3 linked regions of the Struthio camelus genome follow. The protein of the gene in region 1 interacts with the protein of each later gene in a pairwise test. Links are inferred from orthologs where the notes say so. Each region holds a gene or a part of one and is shown on either strand. Other genes may lie near its edges.

The links. The genes of interacting proteins can lie anywhere in the genome.
Region 2: the proteins of FHL2 (region 1) and NIBAN1 interact in binary tests that used the Homo sapiens proteins (3 or more experiments, as listed by UniProt). The two-hybrid records come from large-scale screens. The link is inferred for Struthio camelus from reciprocal best matches to the Homo sapiens genes FHL2 and NIBAN1.
Region 3: the proteins of FHL2 (region 1) and ITGA7 interact in a two-hybrid assay, tested with the Homo sapiens proteins (2 studies listed by BioGRID and IntAct). The link is inferred for Struthio camelus from reciprocal best matches to the Homo sapiens genes FHL2 and ITGA7.

The regions. Positions count from the first base shown.
Region 1 is NC_090942.1:154,185,909-154,193,066, reverse strand, and holds the start of FHL2 (four and a half LIM domains protein 2), read left to right. Parts: upstream 1-4,147; 5' UTR 4,148-4,189; intron 4,190-7,071; exon of another isoform or gene 7,072-7,158. UniProt on the Homo sapiens protein: May function as a molecular transmitter linking various signaling pathways to transcriptional regulation. Negatively regulates the transcriptional repressor E4F1 and may function in cell growth.
Region 2 is NC_090949.1:3,952,031-3,959,171, forward strand, and holds the start of NIBAN1 (protein Niban 1), read left to right. Parts: upstream 1-4,123; 5' UTR 4,124-4,211; coding exon 4,212-4,266; intron 4,267-5,496; exon of another isoform or gene 5,497-5,570; intron 5,571-7,141. UniProt on the Homo sapiens protein: Regulates phosphorylation of a number of proteins involved in translation regulation including EIF2A, EIF4EBP1 and RPS6KB1. May be involved in the endoplasmic reticulum stress response.
Region 3 is NC_090969.1:808,282-815,370, forward strand, and holds the start of ITGA7 (integrin alpha-7), read left to right. Parts: upstream 1-4,071; 5' UTR 4,072-4,231; coding exon 4,232-4,401; intron 4,402-6,900; coding exon 6,901-7,028; intron 7,029-7,089. UniProt on the Homo sapiens protein: Integrin alpha-7/beta-1 is the primary laminin receptor on skeletal myoblasts and adult myofibers.

The DNA of each region.
Region 1 (7,158 bases):
CAGAGTATTGACTACTGGCAAAATCTCCACAGGCTGCTTCTTCTGCTCTGCCTCTGCTTTGAGTCTCTGGCAGAACATATCATATGTACAGAACCTATCTCCAAACTCAGATTAGATTAAAGGCTCAACAGCATCATAATGCAGTTTTAAACCCCTGTGCTACCATGAACACAAATGTCAGGGCAGCAAGGTCAGATTCCCATGAATGTCTGGCAGTAGAGCTCTTTGGAAAAGACACTACCAGTGCAAGTTGGTGAGATTTGGTTTATTAAAACTCTTACTGAAAATGTACATCCTTCTTGGATTCCCAAGCTCCATCATCATCTTGCGAAGGATGGCACGCCCAAAACCTACTTGTGACTGATCAGTGCTAAAACTTCTAACTTCAGCACACTGAATGGCTAACAGGACCTCATTATGGACCTCATACAGGACCACAGAAGCCACACACTAATGCATACCTTGGCAGAGAAACAGCAAGGGAAATAGTTATTTTAGCACAGTCACCTGCTATTGCCTTATGGCAGATGATTGACTCAAATTCTTGCTTTGTTTCCTCCTAGGACCTCAATCCTGGGAGCTGCGGGCTGGCTGTGAGGCAGACAGGTCCAGCATGGTGGAGATGTGTAGCTGGCAAAGGGCCATGGAGATGTTGCTTTGCTCTCCGTGTCAGAGCCTCGGAAAGCTCAGAGCTGTCCTTTCCTCAGTGAGCTTCATCAGAGAATAAAGTAATATCCGAAATGAAGCTGGATCATTTTAAATCAGAGAGGCAGTGGATGGCAACCAGCTTTACGGGACATTTTTTCAGAGAGAAAGGCAGTAACATTTGGATTAATGGATCTGCAATCCATCTTTCTGAAGTAGCTAGAAAGTGTGTTAGGAGGCCACATTTACCCAAAGCTCATCCCTCTTTGCTTGATGTTAACACCAGATCCAAATATGCTTTGCAATCAGACTGACACCTGGGGAGTAAATACATCATCAGTGCCTAGTATAGAGTGGACTAGGGTTGGGGACAACTGTCCTGTGTCTAGGTTGCTTTTACAATGTAGCTGGGATCTTTGAATGATACAAACAAAAAATTGGCTAACATGAAAAGGTTGAGGCTTTCCAGAGCTGTCCAAACATATGTCCTAACTACCACATTTTTGCTGCTTATACAGCTTTCCATAACTGTTTATCGTTCTGGGAAATGAGAAAGGACTGTTTACACAGTAGCTAAAGGAACATGCGACAAAAGGCTGCTAACCCTAGGATGAAGAATATTTTCATCAAGAAACAACTGTAGGATATTCCTCTTATCTCCTTAGAAACTAAGTCTTTAGGCCATGCTTCTAGTCCATGGTGTCTGGAAGCAGGGAATTTTTGCATGGACAAAAGAAGACATGTGAAAGTCATTTGTTCCAGGAGACTTGACTCAGGCTGTCAGATTGTGTTGCTTGGCAGGGACTGAGGACATGTTATTATAAGCCTTCATGTTAGGATGAACCCTCCAGATGCCAACCTCTGATTGGTTTGGGGTCAAAAACATAAAACCTAACTGGGCTCTGTATCAAACCATAAATCAATTTGTCATATCAGAAAACCTGGCACGCTTTTTGTGTTACTACCAAACCTCCACAGCTTGACCCATGTTTGCTATCCAGATGAATTATTCAGAGAAAAGCCAGGAGGTGAGAATATCTTCTAACGGATATTAATCTACCAATACTTTCTCTCAGCTTTTCAGACACTGTTGCAGGTGGATAAGGAAGCTTGTGTATACAAACTGACATTTACAAGTGGTGGAAGAGCTCTCAGTTACGTACTGCAGTAATAGTTGAAGCGAACAGTCCTGTGTTCTTACCACAGCAGGATACAAGTTCTGTTACCCTTTGTAAAATATTATGAGCTGCTATATGAAACTTGAAATTACCCTTTATTTCTGGCTATAGTTTTTTCTGCACCTCTTTTAGTGTTGTGGTTTAGCAAAGCAGTTGTTCTTCAGAGATTTACCTTGGGAGAACTTACTGAGTGTGTGAAAGATAGGGAATTCCAATATGGAAAAGATCATTTTCTCTCAGAAGCTAAATTCTCTCCAGAATGAAAATTGTTCAGAGAAAGAAAACCAGCATTTGTATAGAGGGCTTTGTGTATGCAAAAAACCACAGACTATCCCTTTCAGAAAGAACTCCTTTGGAAGCTGGGATAAAGAAAGAGAGAAAGTGGCTCTGAAAATGTGTATCTTTCTGAAAACGACCATTGAACTGGATTCTCCCCATAGCATTCCCTCGTTTGACCCACCATGGGTCATGAGGAGTAGCTTGAGGTAGCAAGAAAGGGGAGAAACAGATGCGGACATGAGTGCTGCCTCCTCATGCTTTCCCACAAAACGTAAGTGTCTCACAGGATGCTTCCTCTGGTCTCCTGGAGCAGTCACTGCTGTCACCCATGGGGCCATTGCAGCCAAATGTCACGTCAGGTCCCTGGGCTCAGCCTCCTGCTCACAGCCTGGACAGGCTCAGGAGTGCCCAGCCACAGCTTCTGATGTCCAGCCATGGCCATCTCATTTCTGGGCACCGTGATAGAGAGTCCATTTTGGGGCCACCATCCCAACAGCTGATAGAATGCTACTTCCAGGCTACGATTTTTTCCCAGCTTGTGTCAGTGCTTGGGATGAAGATAGCGGGGGCTGGTTCTCCAGAGATGTGGAAATAATAAATAAATCCAGCAGTGGTATCAAAGCCCTCAGCAAATAGAGGACAGTAGCTTCAGCCAGGAGGAGGAAGGACAGATAATCTCAGCTTAACAGAATAGTGCCTCATCTGAGAAGTATGTTGCTGCGTTAAGGAGAGGGTCGTTTGCCTATTTGTGCAGGCTGCCTGATCTTGTTTCTTTACCTGCCTCTGTAAAAGAGAGGCTTTTCTTTTCCTCCTCTTGACATCTCACTGCCTACCTTCACAAGTGTAGACTCTCTACTTATCAGGTCAAACTCTTTATCTCATGTCCTGCTCTCCCTGCTCCCCAGACAGAGCAAAACCCCTAAAGGGCAATTCTCAGTCAGGTGGCCACAACAAAAGCGTAGAAGTCCCAGGTCAAATTGCAGGGAGGAACCAAAAGGACCCACAAGGCCGTCCTGACAGGAGAAGTGGCATGCAGTGAGGCAATTGTGTTTCATTCTGGGTGAAAAAAAAGGTTAAAATAGTTCAACTTCGGGCCAAGGATCATGTCTCTGCTGCAACATACTCCAGAGTAGTGCAATAAAGTGAGAGATGGACCTAGCAAGGAGATAGGCTGTAACCCTAATTCTGCATGGAGCCTTGCTTGGGCAGGTTTTCTTCTGAGGCCAGAGGGGCTTTGCCAATGTGAGTTGCTGAACTTTTTTCACCTCTAATCTCTCATTCCTTAAATGTGCGAATGTCCCCTTAACCTAACGTAACAACTCCATTACAGCAGGAAGGAAGCCCAGAGAGGAAAGCAGTCTCCTGAGTTATGAGTGCCCACTGCCAGCCTGGCACATATTTATTTCTTCACCTCAGGCTAGTTGCTAGAGCTTCTTTGTGCTGTAAAATGGTAGAACTAGCAATGCCTTCCCCCATACAAGGGGTTGCAAGGGTAAAACGTGGCAGAATATGAGGGACTCAGACTCCCTTTCAACAAGATGCATACCTGAGATTGATGAATGAAGGGCAAGTTAAAGTTTGTTACATCTTCAGAGCGGTTAGCATTTCCTAGAGTGTTTTTGTTAATCCCAAAGCTTTGACAAATCGTCTGATTTAGAAGCTAGACTCTTACAGCCCAGCTAAAATATCAGGCCATTAAATTACTCTCGTTCTTTGACAGTCCCTCCTAGAACCTCGCTACGCTTAGGTGAGCGTATTTTAAGGTCAGACATTCCCGAATCAAGCAGAGTAAAGGGCCAGGGTTGCTCAGGAGAGTGGCAGCCCTTTCCATTACAGGTCTTGTGCTACCGTTAACTATGATGCCTTAAAAGGCCAGGAGCACAGAGGTGATGCTGTTCTTATCTCCTGTGGATGGCTGGTACTTTGGAGATATTATATTTATAGCTTGTCTAAAGAACGAATGCCTGACTGTGTAATTACTAAATGCATAGTTTGGGTAATCCAATAAAGCAGTAAGTCGCTGCATTTGTCTCTGCCTTCTCTCATTCTCACACTAGCAAGCAGAGGCACCACCAAGTTGCAGCAAGGTAAGAAAACAACTTCTTTCGATTTTAGCTGTCTTTTGGCCCCTTTACTCCTTTTCATCCTCCCTTTCAGGAGGAGGGCTGGAAATTTGTCAACACTTTCTATGTAGAGATCATGAACGGAGTGCTTCTTTCTTGCAGGAAGAGTGGCTTTTCGGTTGTTTGTTCATTTTTCGCTGTCTGTCAGGGCACATACATAGTGTCTCACTTTGCATTTCTAGTCTGCTGTTGGGAACCAGGTGCTAAATAACAGCTGCTCTTTAGTTTCTGCGCTAATAATATGCTGTCATGTTTTCATGTTCTCAGGGAATACAACCATGTCTAACTAGAGACACTTTCCTGGTTTGAATAGGAAACTGAATGACTTCAGGCAGAAAGCTTTTGATTAGTTTTTTTTTCTCTATCAGCATTTTCTTCTTTAGGATGAATATTTGGAAATTGAACAGACAGTGAAAAAAAGGGGGACAGAAGGAACATTTATACTTTTTTTTTTCTGTCTTTGACACCGTTTCGTAATGGTCTTGAAAGAGAGAAAGGCAAATTACACACGATGCTTGCTGATTTTGTGTTTAAACAATTATTTGTTATGGATTACAGCAGCTGTGTGAAAGGGAAAAAGAAAGAAAAGCATTGAAACGTAACTGGGTGTCAAAGCAGGAATTCTTCAGAACTTGTCTGGAAAACAGCATTAGCAACAACTGCCAAATGCCAATTATCAGACCGTTGTTACACTAATTTACTTTTAACCTCATCTCATGAGAGTATTAATTTTCAAATGAAGCGAATAAAAGAAGACCTCTTTGGAAAAATAAGATTGTTTGTGCATGTGTGTATGTGCATTTAGATGCATTTATACATGCGTTTTTATTATAAACATTCTTGTAACAAGAGACTTTTTCAAGCAAGGATCACAAAGTATGAAAGGTAAGAAATATTAATTTATTTTTAGCCAGAGATCAGAAGGTATCATACTTTGCACAGAGTTTTATTTACTATTCCCTTATTTAAGTAAAGAAATAAAAGAAGGCTTATTTCCAAATTGCTGAGCAACCAGTGCTTCACAGACTCTGATAGGGATGTTGGCTCTCTGGAGAGCAGGACTCCTCAGGCCTGATCCACATCCAAGGCCTGTACAAATGGCTCATCTCACTTCAAAGCATTTGAGACTGGGCCTAATGCCTACGTGCGGATTTCAGAGGCAAAAGGAAAGATCCTTACTTGATACAAACTGTCAGACATCTATGGACATTGCTGAAATATGGATGTTTCCATCTACTGTTGATTGGCCTGTACATGTGGAAATGTTGGATCCAACCCAAAGGCGGTTGTAATAGTGAATGAAATATGCCCAGAAATACTTCTGCTGGGAAAAGTGGTCCTGGGGTCACCTGGTCTGAGCAGTCTGTGTCCATGCCATTATGCACTCCTGGTGTCTGAACAAAGTGGCCACATCTGAAAGGTATCCTGGGGTTGGGCTACCCACCTCCCAAACCATGCCGAGGATCTGGCTGGGAGAGGGCTAGCTGGCGCACGCCAAAACTGCGCCAGGGACAACTGACCAGCGTGGCCAAATGAGTTGCGGAGCCTGGAGCATCCTGTGGTCCTGTCTGATTTATGAGTATTGATGTAGCCCCTAGTGCACCCCTACCTGCATCTGAACTTGTTCTTTTACACGGCCTCAATTAATGTGTCTCATCCAGCTGAGCTATCCTGGCTTTCTCTGGTGGGGGCCTGTGACCGTCAGTGCAGACAATATCAAAAGAGCAAGCTTAGAAACTAGTTTGTTCCATATTTTGTGTGAAGAACAGCATATAACGTAAGTAGAAGAAAAAAGGAATGCAGAGTACCAAACTGGCTGCACACATCTATCTTATCTAAAGGCTTACTATCCCCTCACTGATGCCTGGGGAGGCTTAACTTCTTCAGATATCACAGTCAGAGCCTCTGCACATCCATCTGTTCTCCAGCAGTTACTGTCCCACCGCTGGCCCAGGATCTGTTCTTTTCAGATCCTTTCAGAGCTCCAACCTTCTGGTCCCCAGAACTGATAAAATGGGTTTTGTAAGTTGCCTGGCGTTCAAACGTAGGTGCTTCCCACTGAAGAGCGCAGTGTTGCCTCTAAGCAGTCCTCCAGTGTGGACTGGGAGACGCCTTGCCCAAGCCCATTGACCCATGTTGTCTTGTTTATCCAGGACCCTGCCATTAAGCTAAACTGACGCCACCACAGTAAATTGCATAATAAAGAAGTTACATACAAAACTAATATTTTTAATAGAGTAGCCTCGTTTCTGCAGTGCCAGAAATTTACTCATGTCCTCAAATTCTTTCTCTGTCATCCAAGCCTCAGGCAAAAACAATAGATACCACAAAATCTTTCTGGTTATGTACTTAGAGTTAAAGTATCATCACTGGTGTATTGACAGTATTCCCTCTAAAAAATGAGAAGCAAAAGTAGCATTCCAGTTATGTACAGCAAAACATCAGGCTTTTTTTGAAAGAAGCTGGCCAAAGATCTTTAGCTTGAAAAAATGCAGGAAGGTACATACTAATGTAGTGATTTTTCACTGGATTTGAATTTGAAAGTGAAATAGGATAAAATGTCCAAAAGCCTATTCCCAAAGTGAACCTATTCTAAAGGCAGTCTTTCCAACAATAATACTCTGTTCTTACCTAGCATTGGAAAATATGATTAATGGATGAATAACTTTACTTTTTCCCTTCCAAACAGTAAGTCATCAGAACAAGGCAAACCTTTGATAGCAGCTGGCAAGAAGCTGGGGGGGGGGGGGAGGCAGACTCATTCAAACACTTCTTTAATATAGAAATTCTAAAAGGCCATTTTATAAGGAAGAAAATTAGAGAAGGAAGGGAATGTGAATACTTACTTTGGGATGAAATCCTGGCCCCACTGAAATTAATTAATGGAAATTCTGCTCAGAAACATCCACTGATTTTAATGAAGTCCGGATTTC
Region 2 (7,141 bases), on another chromosome or scaffold:
TGACTTCACACTAAAAAGTGTATATTTTTGAGGAACAAGATGTGTACTTTTCGGATGCTGAGGTTGGAAATGCTAGAAGATTTTTAACAGTGCTAACCTCTAGATGAGCCTCACAGTGAGCTACATCTATTTACTAAATGTGGTTGGAGAACTACTGGACTCTTCCATGTCAGCCTTAAAGCATTTTTATGAGGAAGTTTCTCTACTGAAAAGTTTTTAAAAATTCCCTTGGATCAGATTAAAATGTGTGGACTAAAGGGACATTTCTAACACTTGGCAACCAAGAAGGGTAAAATGATGAATGTTATCTACGGTTTGGTATTTAATGAGCACTGGTATTTAATGAGTATTCAAATAATCGTTATTTGCATGCTGAATCAGAAGAAAGCACAACTGAGGAAGAAAATAAGGAGTGGAGAAGGAAGCATTAGGTTGTGCACTCAGCTGCCTGATTACGTTTCATCCTGCACCGCCTTTTTTCACCATCTTCTTTCACAGAACTACTGAAAGGTAGAGATACTCTTACAAATTATACAATTTTGCTACCAAGATATTTTGCTTACCCTCTGCTATAGAAATATAACTTTGCCTTGCTTTTCGTCCTTGATGAGCAGTTCACACTCCTCAGGTCTGGTGTCATCCACACCTTCTGAAGTAACAAAAATAAGGGGTTTTAGCTAATTTTTTTCTTTGGATAGTGACCGTACATACCTTTTTTATTTCTCCTCTGGAATACAGTAGCACTTCATACACTGTCTCCAAGTCATGCCTTTCCCTTAAGAATCTGTTAAAATCCACTCTTCTTCTGTCTATGGGTTTTCAGAGCAATGCTTTTTCTAAGTCTCTCAGAATTAGAGTAGTAGCTAAAGCACAACAAATTCTCCCTGTTCTTAAGGCTCTTTTTATCAAAATACTGTTTTTTGGATCTCCAGCCAGAACAGTTCTGACTCTGTTGGAGTATCTTCCCTGGCTAGATTTTCAGACCTCCTTCCAGCCTCTGAAAATACCTCATAGAGGTAATGTTTTTCTGTGTGTAATGTTTTTCGGTGTTATTTAGATGGAAGAGATTCACAACATATTTCACCTACCAGCCTGTCCGGCGAAAAGGGCTGCTTCTCTCCGTAGTGCTACTTTCTACAGCCCAGTACTGGCTTTGAGACAATAACGATTAATGATTTCCTCTAGCAATAGATAATTATTATGCCTCCTTGATAGTTTTATTGTGCTTGTGGCTGTCTTTGTCAACAGCATGTTGCTATCGTGCTTGCAGAAGTCAGTGATCTTAAAATGGCTACCTTCCCTGGGAGAAATCTTATAAGGTAATTTTGGATAGTTGCTTTTCTGCCCCAATGGATTCCATATGCATTTCGCTTAAATGCTTCTGCTAATATTGAACTGTGTTTGTGAGGCAACCAAGATGGTTCTGGGAGAGTATAAACAGGATAAACCCTTCATTTTCCTCTGAAGCAGAAGGCGCAGGCACATGCTATTTTGCATCATGTCAGAGCGGCTGGTTCCTTGCATATCTTAAGTTACACTTAGATGGTGTTGGTACGTAGGGGAAGTATCCAACAACATGACAAAGATTTTATCAGTCCCTCTGATGACATATCTGCAGTTTGTCAGCCGTGTGGTCGTGTTCAGGACCGTGTGTTTGACTAACAACCACTTTATCATGCTGGTGTGACCATTTGTGTTGAGAGCGGACCTTGTGGTCGTGTCTGTGTCTTTGTCACTTCACGGTGACGTTACCGTCCCCTCTACAAAGAGATAATAGGAAAGAAGTGCAATCCTTTTCACTCTTGAATTCACCTTCTGTGTAGAATGGAAGAGCTCCATCATGTTGCCCTTTAGGATATGATACAAAAGAGGTGTTTAGAGAAGGAGCGTTCTGAGGGAGACGTAAAGCTCGTTTCCCTTAAAGATCAAGCTTTCTTAGCAGAAAAAGTGGGAAAGTGTTTGTTTTGTCTGCGCTGCTGTTACTTTGATAGTGTTTAATTATCTTGTCATTGAGAACTGCAGTCCATTATATGCGGCCATGTTACATCAAATTAAAATCGAACATGGCCCATTTCTTATCCTAGGGAAGGATGGTTTTGCTATTAAACAGTATAGAAGTAGGGTCATTTGGCTCTGTTCCTGACTTTTCTCACATTTCTCTTATGTCCTGCACCTAGGGAGGAACAGCCCCATGCACCAGGGCATGCTGGGGGCCAGCTGGCTGGAAAGCAGCTCTGCAGAAAAGGACCTGAGGGTCCTGGTGGACAACACGTTGGACATGAGCCAGCCATGCGCCCTAGCGGCCAAAAAGGCCAATGGTATCCTGAGCTGCATCAGGCAGAGTGTTGCCGACTTGTCGAGGGCGGTGATCCTTTCCCTCTACTCAGCGGCACTGGTAAGGCCATGCCTGGAGCGCGTGGGTCCGGTGTTGGGCTCCCCAGTACAAGAGGGGCATGGAGCTACTGGAGCGAGTCCAACGAGGGGTCACAAAGCTGCTTAAGGGACTGGAGCATCTGTCGTGCTCCAGTATGAGGTGAGGCTGAGAGAGCTGGGACTGTTCAGCCTGGAGAAGAGCAGGCTCGGGGGCATCTTATCAACGTGTACAAATATGTGATGGGAGGGTATAAAAGAAGATGGAGCTGAACTCTTCTCCATGGCGCCCAGTGACAGGACTGGAGGCAACGGGCACAAACTGAAACACAGGAAATTTCATCCAAACATAAGAAAAAACTTTTTTACCGTGAGGGTAACTGAGCATGGGAACAGGTTGCCCAGAGAGGTTGTGGAGTTTCCATCCTTGGAGATACTCAAAAGCCATCTGGGCACGGTCCTGAGCAATGTGCTCTAGGTGTCCCTGCTTGAGCAGGGGGCTGGACCAGAAGATCTCCAGAGATGCCTTCCAACCTCAACCGTTCTGTGACTCTGTGATGTCTTCTTAAAGATGCTTAAGATACTAACTTTGCCATGAAACCATAGCACGTTGCTATCTTAAAAGGAAAGTGATGGTATTTAATTAGCTGGCATTTGCGAAATGCTTGGGGATCTTTGGATAAAAGGTGCTACTGAAGCATGAAACGTTATAATTAAAAAAACTGTTCACTTCTCATTTTGTTTTCACTCTAGCTGTAATTAGGCAGGGAGGTTTCCCATCCTGTATGCACCCTGACATCTGTTCCTGAGCACAAAGCTTCTGCGATTTGGCATATTTTCATCTTCTAAACGAGGAGACAGAACAGCAATCCATGTTACGGCTCATGAACTTTCCACGGTTTCTCTCTCCGATACCAGCGGAGGTGACTCGCGTAGCACACGTGCCTGCATGAAAGTCGTCTGAAAGAAACTTGATAGAAGACACGCAACACTATAAACGGAGGCCAAGCTCGTCTCTCACACCTTTAAAAGGCAAGGCGGTGTGCAGCGTATTTCCTCTAGGTTGTCCGCTCACCCAGCTCGGAGGTGCACGCTGCAGGAACCGCAGCGTCCAGCTTGCTGGTAGCGAGTTAAAAGCCTCGTAGTAGAGTTTAACAGCTCTTGACGAAAGCCTGGGATTTACCCCATGCCTCTAGAAGTGGCTGCTGATTTAAATACTAGGCTCGATTCTCCGCTGAGATGTTTACAGACCGGCAAACCACTGTTTTATTGATGCCCTGGATGCATCCGCTCTCCTCAGGGCAGTTAAACGATTGCGCCGCTACGCTTCGGGACAACTAAAATACACCTAGAAAGTCTGTGTGAATAGCGCGAATTGATGCCGAAAGCCTGGCGTCGGTCGGCGGCCTTTGAGGGAGAGGTCGCTTAGCAGGGTGCTGGACCTGGAGGCAGGTAACTGCCTCCGAGCTGCCTTCGCTACGTCCAGTTTGATCAAGACGGTTAACCGTAAGTCTGAAAAGCAGAAGGGCCGGGTTCGGTTATGAAAACTTTCAACCGTCACAACGTTAAGGGTACTTGAGGCACAGCCAGCCCAAGCGACTAGAACAAAACCACGCTTATTTTAAAAAGCAGTTTCTGCGGCAGGTGCAAACCAGCGGAAACCAACGCCTTTCCAGAGAGTCTGCAATAACGCAGCTTTGAGGCTGAGGGAGAGGAGGGAGGCGGGCGGCGGGCGGTGCCGGTGGGCGGGCGGGCGGGCGGGCGGGAGGCGCCGGCGGCAGCGCCTCAGCGTGCGGCCGCCGCCGCCCCGCTCCGCGCCCTGCGCAGCTCGCGGCGCCAGCATGGGCGGCTCTGCCTCCGGCCCGCTGGACGACAGCAAGTGCGCCTATATCCGAGGTAGGGCGCCGCGCAGGGCTGGGCGCGGCCGACGGGGCAGGGGAGCCGGGCTGAGGGGCTGCTGCGCCGCGCGGCGGGAAACCGCCTGCCCTCAGGGCGCCCGGCGCGGGCTGCCGCATGGCGGCGGCGGCGCCGAGGTTGGGCGGGGCGGGGGGGTCTGCTGGGCGCCCAGACCTTAAGAAAAAAGCCTGCCGGCTCCGGGTTGTGGGGCACAGCGCAAACTGGAGGGAAACACTTTGTCCTGTTAACATTTAAGAGGAAAAAAACTTTTTTTGGTTTGTTTTTGTTTAAAACATATCGCTATAAATTCGTGCGTTTTGCTGTTAAAGAGCACAGTTCCCCAGGGTGTGTTTTGGGGCCGGGGGGGGGTTAATTTCTTTTTGCCACGCCGGCGGCCAGTGGCCAGGAGGTGAAACACCTTTCGCTGTGGCGCGTCTCGGTCCCCTCCGGCCGGCCGGCGGCAGCAGGTAACGTATTTACGTGGCGAATTTTACCAGAAACTTGGGAGCGAAATAAAAATTTTGCGCCTCCGAGGGAAGCCTCATCTCTCCCCCCGCCTCCCCCGGCCCGCCCGGTACCAGCCCGAGCGCGTGCGGGGCTGGTGGCCCAACCTCGGCCTCCCCTCGCCCTCGCCGTGCCCTCCTGGCCCCGACTCGACGCCGAGCCGTTGGCCGAGAGGCGGGAGCGCCTGCGAGGACCGCCGTCTCGCTGGAGCTCCTCCGCTTCCCCGGCTCGGCGAAGGAGGAAACGCCGCAGCCGCTCGCTCTGGCCGTCTGCGTAGAGCTGGAGAACTCGGGGCAGCGAGCTGAGGAGCAGCTGCCCCCGCTCGGCCCAGCCCGCGCCTCGGCTTAGCTCGCCCATGGCCCGCCTCGAGGTAGGGCGTCCGCTCGGGGCGGAGAGGCGCGAAGGCTCTTCGGCCCCGTTTGCCTGTCGGCTCTGCCCGAGCAAATGGTAAAGTGAAATCCTCCCGCAAAAAGGAACTTAAGACGTAGCCGCCTTTATCGCCTGGCTCGAGTTTGCCGCCCTTGCCGCCGGCGAGGATTGCCCGCTCTCGGCTCTTGCTTTGACCAAGGACGCCCTTCGTGCGGCAGCTGCCCGTGAACGATTACTTGCAGTGGGAAAAGGACTCGGGAGGAACGTCTTCAAATGCCGACGTTTCCTTAGAGCGCGGTCCGGCGCGCGCGCCAGACTTGCAGCTCCGGCTGAGGTTAGAGTTGGCGTGATTCAGACCTTGCTTAGCTGCGGCTGCCTTCGGCACAGCTTGCTCCGGTGCGTTCCAAGAAACGGAAGCTGCCTGAATCGCTCGCTTTGTAGATGGAAAAACCAGCAGTTTTTTAGCCGGCTTCTCGAAGGTTAGGCTAATTTTATTTTGTGGGAGGTTTTTTTTTTTTTTTGGTGCATGTGTGGTTTTTTTTTCCCCGCCCCGATGTAGAGGAGCCTTCAGTAAAAAGGGAAGGGAGATACCTGCTTTTTGTTAGTACAGCTGTAAATCTGTAGTGCTTCAGCGGAGCAGCTCTGGTGAGGAAGGCTGGGAGGCATCGAGCTCAGGGGTGTTACCTCACACATCTTACTTAGGGAATGCAGCCAGTTACCTTATCCAAACTCGGTGTGGTTTCTTAAACGGGAGATACTCTCGGTCATATTGGCCCAACTTCCCCTACGCCCAGAACAGGGAAGCCTGAGTGTTGCTTCATGTGAGGGTTTGGACTAGAGTATCTCTGGCACTCCCTTCCCACCACCGTTTCAGTGATTCTGTGAGTAAATTAGTATTTGCAGTTCCTGCGCGCTAGTTTTGGCGCTGGATTTTGGCATCTGCCGTAATCTTCTCCGTGACCCCTTCTCCGTGTCTGTGCAGCAGAAGCTTGCTGAGGTTGAGCCCCGGCTTGCTGGAGGGTAGTCCATGCCGTGCCAACCTCCACCTACATCTGCAGGCTCACCTAGGTGTTGTGTCAACGGAGCAGCATTAAGCGCTGGTCCCAGCCAGGTTTAGCCGAAATCATATGGGACAGAGCTAAATGTGACTTCTTGAGCGTGTTGCATGACCGCTGTGTAGTTGTTGTCCCGATGCTAATTTGCTGTTGTCACAGTGGTAATTTAATCTGTCTGAAGCAGCGTCCTGGCGCTGGAAAACCTTGTAGTTTACGTAGATAGTACTTAAGCTACAACCTTATAGCAGATGGAAAAGAGAGATTGCGGGCTAAAGGGACAGAGGCGGTTTTCAGCCATAAACCGATATGGTTTCTCCATTGATGTATGTACAGATTTACAGCTCTTATAATTCCCAAAGATCTGTTTGCTCATATTGTGCGTTTGAGGGATGAGAGGAGAACAAAACGGGTACAAAAATTGTGTATGTAAAAACATGTCAGTGTGTCCACATAAATCACAGAGAACTGTGCCACCAGCACCTGCTGCAGGAGAAGCCTAGGAGGCACCGTGCTTTGGGCTCTTTCTACCCTGCGGGTGAATAACCTCAAGCTTTGTCAGACCAGTTGGAGGAATGAATTTCAGAGACGATTAAGAAAGCACTTGCCTAGGAATGTCACAATTACTGAATGCAAGGACTGTGTTTTCTGCATAAACCTGCTTCAACTTCTGTGCTCTCTGCAGGAGACAATGGTAGTATTGGAACAGCCAAATTGCAAATCGTCAAGACTTTTGTGTATTTGTGTGTGAGGCGGTATCTTGAGCCGTACCTGGAAGCAGGTAGAAAGCTAAGTGTAATTGTTGAAATGAGAATGCAGTATATTTTCTGTAGCAAACAACGCCTAACAGGAGAATGTATCATGTCAACATGCAATTTTTCAAGTGGTCTTTGGCAGTTGTTAGCAACATGCAAGGCTATATTTGAAATTGCAAAGGCAGGGATCATTGC
Region 3 (7,089 bases), on another chromosome or scaffold:
CTGGATTAACGGAGGTGCTGTGGGGCAGAGCGTGCTCTGGGTCTGTGTGTGGTGGAGCGGCTCGGCTCCCCGCTGTGCTTGGGCTTGGCGTGTGTCAAGGTCAGTTGCTGCTTGTGAGAGGTGTGGGTGTATCTTGGGGGTGGGGTGCTGTCTGCTCGGGGCTCACAGAAGTTGTTAAGGAGTCTTGTTGTTTGGAGGGATAATTCATGGCGGCTTCTCCCACCCACAGGAGCTCCAGCACAAAGCTCTGCCGGCCGAACTGTGCTGACCCAGTAGCTGCCCTTCCTTCCACAGGAATGAAGTAGTGAACAGCAGCAGCCTGTGAGGAGCTTTGCTGGTAACAGTTAACACCTCCTTGGAGTGTACGTGGGACTTTACACCTCTCTGAGGTGTAGTCTCTGGCTCTCTGCGCACTTTGGGATGCGCCACAGCTTCCGTTTCTGAAACTATGTCTGACAACAAAGACACGCTCTTATGTCTTTGAGAGAGCGGCAATCTGACCACAGCCAAGGCTGTGGGTGTGCAGCAGCCGCTCCTGAGTGCAGCTCCTCTGCCCTCCGCTGTCCTCTCTCTCCTCTCCTGCCTTCCTTCTGCAGGAGGGTGCTCCGTGGAGGGGTTGTGGGAGCTTGGAATTGATTCAGCCCATTAACAGAGCTAATGGAGCTGGTGAAGTGGTTTGGCCGCTCTCGCAAACTGGAGGAGTTCTTGGGAGCGTTTCTCTCCCTCCCTCCATCTGTTTGGAAGCGAGTGGTGATCCTCTCCCTCCTCCCCTGTGTCCTGAGCTCTGCTCCCATCTCTGTCTTGCTCCCTGACTTCAGCTATTCAGAAGCCGGTGGGGTGATGCTGCAGCTTCCAGGAGCTGAGGGTTCAAATCCAAGAAAGGGCTTGGAGTGAAGTGAATCCTCTAAACAAGGAAGTCTTTTCTCATGACACGTGAGTTACTGTTTAACACCCCCCCCCCCCGCCTTTCATTCTCACCCCAACCGAAAAAAACCCCTTCGTGTTTCATGCCTGAGCCTGCGGGAACAATGTCCTGATGGGTGAGTCGGGCCTGGAGAAAGCGCTCCCTTCTGGAAACCAAGCCTCATTTGGAAGTTGGCCCTTGTATCGAAAATAAAATTCTCATGAGACAACACTGAGGGTGTAACACAGTCTGTAGCGATTCCAAGGAGCATCAGCGAGCACGTATGTGTGCACGCACTCCCGCTCTCACTACTGTCCGTTCATCTGGAGGTAGTAACAGCAGCCCCCGTTTGTACAATGCCTCGCGTGGTGCGGCCGTGCCGAGATTCAGTTGCCGGCTGCTGAAAGGCAGCTGGTGCTGGGGAGGAACGTGGCTGTTCCCAGCACACGCACAGCCCAGGAAGGACCAGAAGGTGGGGAGGTGTCTGGTTCTCAATTCACAAAACGTTTTTTTGGGCTGGAATTCCCCTACCCGCTGGGCCTCTACCCTGAAGCAGATTGTTGACAGGGGGGTCAAGCCTCCAAGGAAGTAGTGGATTTGCCATCTCTTGATGATTCCTAATCCAGACCAGCTGCCGTTCTCAGGCACGTTAGCCAAACAAGTTACTGAGCTCAGCGTGGGGAAGTAGGATGAATTCCCGGGCTGGGAAGTCGCAGTGGCTGCTCCAGCGGTCCGTCCTGGCTGAGCTCATGCGCTGAGCGATGATTTCTTTAAATGCTGCTCAGCAGAAAAACCGGAGCATGGAGCAGAAGGCAGGGCTGGCAGCTCTGCGTATCTTTGCGCAGCGGCTGCTGCTCCCCAGAAGCCTGAGCTCCCGGAGCCCTGTGATGCTATTAGGGAGTTGGGTTGAGCTTGGTGGGGGGAAAAGTGAATTTGTAGGCTTGCTTGGGAGGAGGATGGCTTGGGAATATGACACCCATTAAGGTTTCAGGATCCAGACACTGATGGGGGCCTGTAAACTCATTTATTTTGAAGCTCGTGGTCTTGGTGCTGGGAGGAGAGCAGGGTGAGCCCTGCTTTCCCCACTGTTGGAGATGCGTGCTGGGACCCCTCGCCTCCCCTGCTGTTCCCCCTCCCTGCTCGCGGGCACCGCGCTGACGCCTCGGTGAGATCAGACGCTTTGCTCAGGGTCCCCTCGGTGCCGAGGGACTGCAGCGTTAGCCCAGGTCATGTTTTAATTTAGACCGGCCGCTCATCTCGCTTCCCGACCGCAACCACCTTCTTTTCTATTTATACCAGCCTGATGCTCCGCTGATGCCATCCCCTCTCGGCAGACGGGCAATTCACAGCGATTGCTGAAAGAGGAGAGGCCGAAGGGGAATTCTGGGCTCCGAGCTCAGCCCGCGGCGCGGCTCGCCCGCGTTTCTGCACGAGGGGGAGGGCAGGTGAGGCACGGCGGGGGTTAACGGAGCCTGAGCAGCCCGGTGGGACAGGGCTGAACTGGGTCCGTTCCCTCCTTCCCCTCCCAGGAAGCGATGCTCCCTTTCCCACGTCAGCAGGGATATTAGAAAGGATGCTGGATCGCAGAAGGGGAAAGGGCAGGCGAGCCGTGGGGAGGGCTGGGTGGGGGCCAGGCCGGTGGGAAGGGGCTGCCAGCAGGCCGGGGCTCCGGGGCGCCTCCTGGGCGCGGGTCCCGCGAGCTGGGGGCCGAGCCCGCCGGCGGGGCCAGCTCATGCTCCCGCGTCCAGGGCCGAGCCGGAGCTAATTCACACGGCCGGAGCGGCCTTGCCAACTCACAAATATCTTCGCAGGCCTTTGGAGAGCGGGAGCGGTTAAAAATAGCCAGTGTGCTGGAAAATATGACGGCCCCCGTTTCTCCCTTCCCCTCTGAGCTCCCGTTTGGGGCACAGGGCAGCGCTCGAGCTGCAGCCGCTGGCCCCCGCGGCCGAAGTGCGTCCATGCGGCAGCGGGTCCCGCATGGGTTTGCGCCCGGGGTGGCCGAGACGGCCCCTGGGTGCGGCGTGGCAGCTGCCCCGCGAGCAAACAGCCCCCGCGCAGCCGCCATGCAGGATCGGGGTGCCGGGGCATTGCTGCAGGATGGGGGTGCCAGGGTATCGGGGGGGGTCACCGCTGGTGTTGGGGTATCGCCTCTGGGCGAAGGCCCGCAAAGAGCGGCGGGGAGGGGTGTCACTGCGGCAAGACTGGCTCAGGGCAGCGTGGCAAAATCAAGGTCAGCAAACAGCTCGCGAGCGCTCTTTGGTGCATCGGCGCCTGGGAAGGCTCCAGGCTTGGAGCGCTGCCTTGTGCCTCTCCCCGCGCCCGGGGCCGCCTGCCTCCGGCCAGCCCCGGCGGAGCGCAGCGTGCCCGGCTCTCGTCGGACGCGGCAGCGGACGAGCTGCGGTTTGCGGGTCGGAGAAACCCTGTGGGGCTGCCGGTCCCCGGGGGCTGTGCTTGCACCGGGGAGGTCTCCGAGCAGCAGCTCCCGGGAGGCGGCCGGGCCATGGGGATGCCTGCTGCTGCGTGTGTGTGCGAGCTGATGGCGCGCAGCGCGGGGTGCACCACACTGTCACGTGCTGTGCAGCATGGGGTGCGATGCCCTGTGATACGCCGTGCAGCTTGGTGTGCAATACACTGCATTACGCTGTGATATGGAGTGCAATACGCTGTGATATGGGGTGCAATACACTGTGATAAGCTGTGATACAGGGTGTAATACTGCGATATGCTGTGCAGCATGGGGCATGGTACAGCATGTGATACGCTGTGATATGCCGTGTAGCACAGCGTGTGGTCTGGTGTGCGAAGTGCTGTACTGCACGGTCTGGTGTGCAGTCCGGTGCACGATGCGCTGCACGGTCCAGTGTGCTGTCTAGTGCACAATGCGCTGCATGGTCCGGTGTGCAGTCCGGTGCATGATGCGCTGCACAGTCCAGTGTGCTGTCCAGTGCACAATGTGCTGCACGGTCTGGTGTGCAGTCCGGTGCATGATGCGCTGCGCTGCATGGTCCAGTGTGCTGTCCAGTGCACAATGCACGGCACGGTCCAGTGTGTGGTCCAGTGTGCGCTGCGCTGCACGGTCCAGTGTGCGGTCCAGTATGTGATGCACTGCGCTGCACGGTCCGGCATGCGATACGCTGGGCGAAGGGGGCGTGTTTGCTGCGAAGCCCGTGCTCCTCCTCGCTGCCAGGAGCAGAGCGGAGCAGAGCAAGCTGAGCCGAGCCGAGCTGAGCCGTGCCGGCAGGGCGGGCGGCCGCTGCTGGCGGAGGCGCGCCGGGATCTCCGTGAGCCGGCGGCGGTGGGAGCTGTGGGGCCGGGCACCGCCGTGGCATGGCAGCGCCTCTGCCCCTCTGGGTGCCCTGGCTCAGCCTGCACCTCCTGGGCAGCGCTGCCTTCAACCTGGACGTCACCAACACCCTCCTCAAGGATGGCGACAAGGGCAGCCTCTTCGGCTTCTCCGTGGCTCTGCACCGGCAGCTCCAACCTGAGCCCGCCAGCTGGTGAGCCCCTGCTTTCGCCCCCTCCCGAGGGCTCGCTGCGGTGCTCCCCCGCGGGGTCCCCTCTCCGCCAGCACCTCGCACCGCAGGTTTTGGGAGCCCAGGGTCTGTGCCCCTCGCTGGGAGCCAGCGGGCTCTCGGCGGCCAGCCCGTCCCCGTGGCGTCGGGGCTGTCGGGGCTGCGGGTCTGTCGCCTCCCCGTCCCTGGGGTGCCAGGCGGGATGGTGTCGGGTTGCCTGCTCCCTTGGGCTGCCGGCTGCCCTCTGCTCGCTGGGCTTCAGCAGGGCCGGGGCCGCTGCGGGGAGCCCGGGGTGGGGACCCGGCCGGGGTCCGGGGCGGATGGGGCCTGGGTGGGGGCTGGTTCTGCTCTCGGTGCCAACGCGGAGTCGCCCGATGTGTCCAGGGCTGCAGGCAGGACCTGGCTGGACTCGTGCCCTTCGCAGGCACCCTGGGCTCCCTGCAGGGAGCCCCCTGCTCAGGTTCCTCCCGGCTTTCCCCGTCCCTGCTGCGCTCGGTCGCTGCCGACTTCGTGGCTGGGGCTGCTGTGTCTTCCCTGGCTCCTGGCGTGACTTTGGGTCTCTGCTGAGGGGTCAGGGACGCAGTCTCCGGGATGCTGGAGGGGTCAGATCCTGCCCCCCACGCGTGGTGTCTGAGCATGCATGTGGGTGTTGGTGTGCACGTGTGTGTGTGCTAGTGTACATGCTGTGCACGTGCACGTGTGTGCTGGTGCTAGCACACACACGTGTGCACATGGGTGCTGTGCACATGCATGTGGGTGCTGGTGTGCACGCTGCGGGAGCTCTGCAGGCAGCTGGGACCACTCGATCTCACGGGATCGGGGGGCCAGGGCTCTCCCCCAAGGCACCAGCCCGCGGTCCCCTGCGCAGCCCCGGCCGAGCCCAGCCCTGCCGCTGCTCCTTCTCCTTTCCCTGGGAGTGGGGAGCAAAATCGATAGCCCCGAGCATGGCCGGGGGGCTCGGCAACGGCTCGGCCTCGCCGGCCAGCCTGAGTCAGCGGGGGCCGCGGCGCGGAGGGGGTGCCCGGCGGATGCGCCCGGCGGGCACGTGCCCCGGCGCTGAGCTGGCAGACGCCCACCCGGATTCCAGGGCAGCCGCCAGCCGGCTGGGCCACGCCAGCCGCGATGGGACCCCGGCGCCGGGCCCCTCACCCAGACCCCGGCTTTGCCCCGGCGCCGTTGCCCTTTGCCGCTTGCGAAGCCCCAGCAAACACCGCCCCGGTTCCTCCGGGGGGGTCGGTGCCGCCGCCGTGGCCCCCGGCCGGGGACAGCGAGCCGGCAGCGCGTCCCAGCTCTGGGCTGGCACCTCGGCCCGGGGGCCCCGGCCGCCGCGCTCTCCACATTCCCGGCCTTGGAGGGTTATTTTTGTTGCCGCCGCTCCCGGGCAGGTATTTGCAGCAGGCGCCGGGCCGCGGCGGCTCGACCCCGCCGTGCCGGCAGCTCCGCGGCGCTCGGAGACGTCCCCAGTGCCGCAGAGCAGCGTCGCGGCCGGCTCCGTGCGGGGTCCCGGGCGCCGGCGCCCCGGGCACTGCCCGGCGCCCTGGCACCCGCGCTGGCGCGCCCCGTGCCTCTTTCGGGCTCCCTCCTTTTTTGGGCATGTTGCTGCTGAGTTATTTTGAGTGAATTCCAGTTTATTTTTACCAGCTCTCCGCCGTCTCCTGGGGCTCCCTCGTGTCTCGAGGCCGCTGTCCCCGTCCCCCGCGGAGAGGGCAGAGGTGGCCACGAGCCAGCGCGGCGTGTGGGCATCCAGCTGTGCTTCGCCTCCGGCTGCCCCTTCCCCTGCCCACACATGCACCGAGCTGCGGCTGAGGCCTGGGAGCAGCTGGGGCCGGGGCGGTTGGCACCCAGCGCGCCCGGCGTGGGTGCGTGCGGCGGGGTGCGTGCACCCTGCCCCGTCCCCGAGCCCTCGCCCTCGTGCACGGTCTGGCGCTGCCCAGCCCGGGCAGCTGCCCGGCCCCAGCGAGAGGCGTGAAATCGGTGCGTCGGCGGTGTCTGCGCGAGGACAGCTGCGCGGGGGCGGCGGGGCCAGGCGTCCAGCCCGGGCAGCTCTGCGGGCGCTCGAGCAGCTCCGGAAAGGGTGCAAGCAGGAGTGCGAGCATGCAAACCCTGCAGTGTGCGTGCAAACCCCATTGAGGGCGTGTGAACCCTGTGGTGTGCATGCAAACCCCATCAAGAGTGTGCGAACCCTGCGTTGCACGCACAAACCCCATCAAGGGTGTGTGAACCTTGCAGTGTGCACACAAACCCCATCGAGGGTATGCACACCCTATTGAGGGCATGCAAACCCCATCAAGGGCGTGCAAACCCCACTGTGCACGCACAAACCCCATCAAGGGTGTGCGAACCCCGTGGTGCATGCACAAACCCCATCGAGGGCGTGCGAGCCCCGCGGTGCGCGTGCAGACCCGGCAGCGTGCACGCACACCCAGCCCGGCGCGCGCCAGCCGGCCGCGCCGTGCGCTGACGCTCGGCTCCCTGTCGCCGCAGGTTGCTGGTGGGGGCCCCCCAGGCGCCGGCGCTGCCCGGCCAAGGTGCCAACCGCACGGGCGGGCTCTACGCCTGCCCGCTGAGCCCCGAGGTCGGCGACTGCTGGCGCGTGCCCATCGACGACGGAGGTGCGCGGGGCCGGGGGCCGGCGGGCGCCGCGGGGGTCCCGGGCTGGTGGGGCCGGGAGCG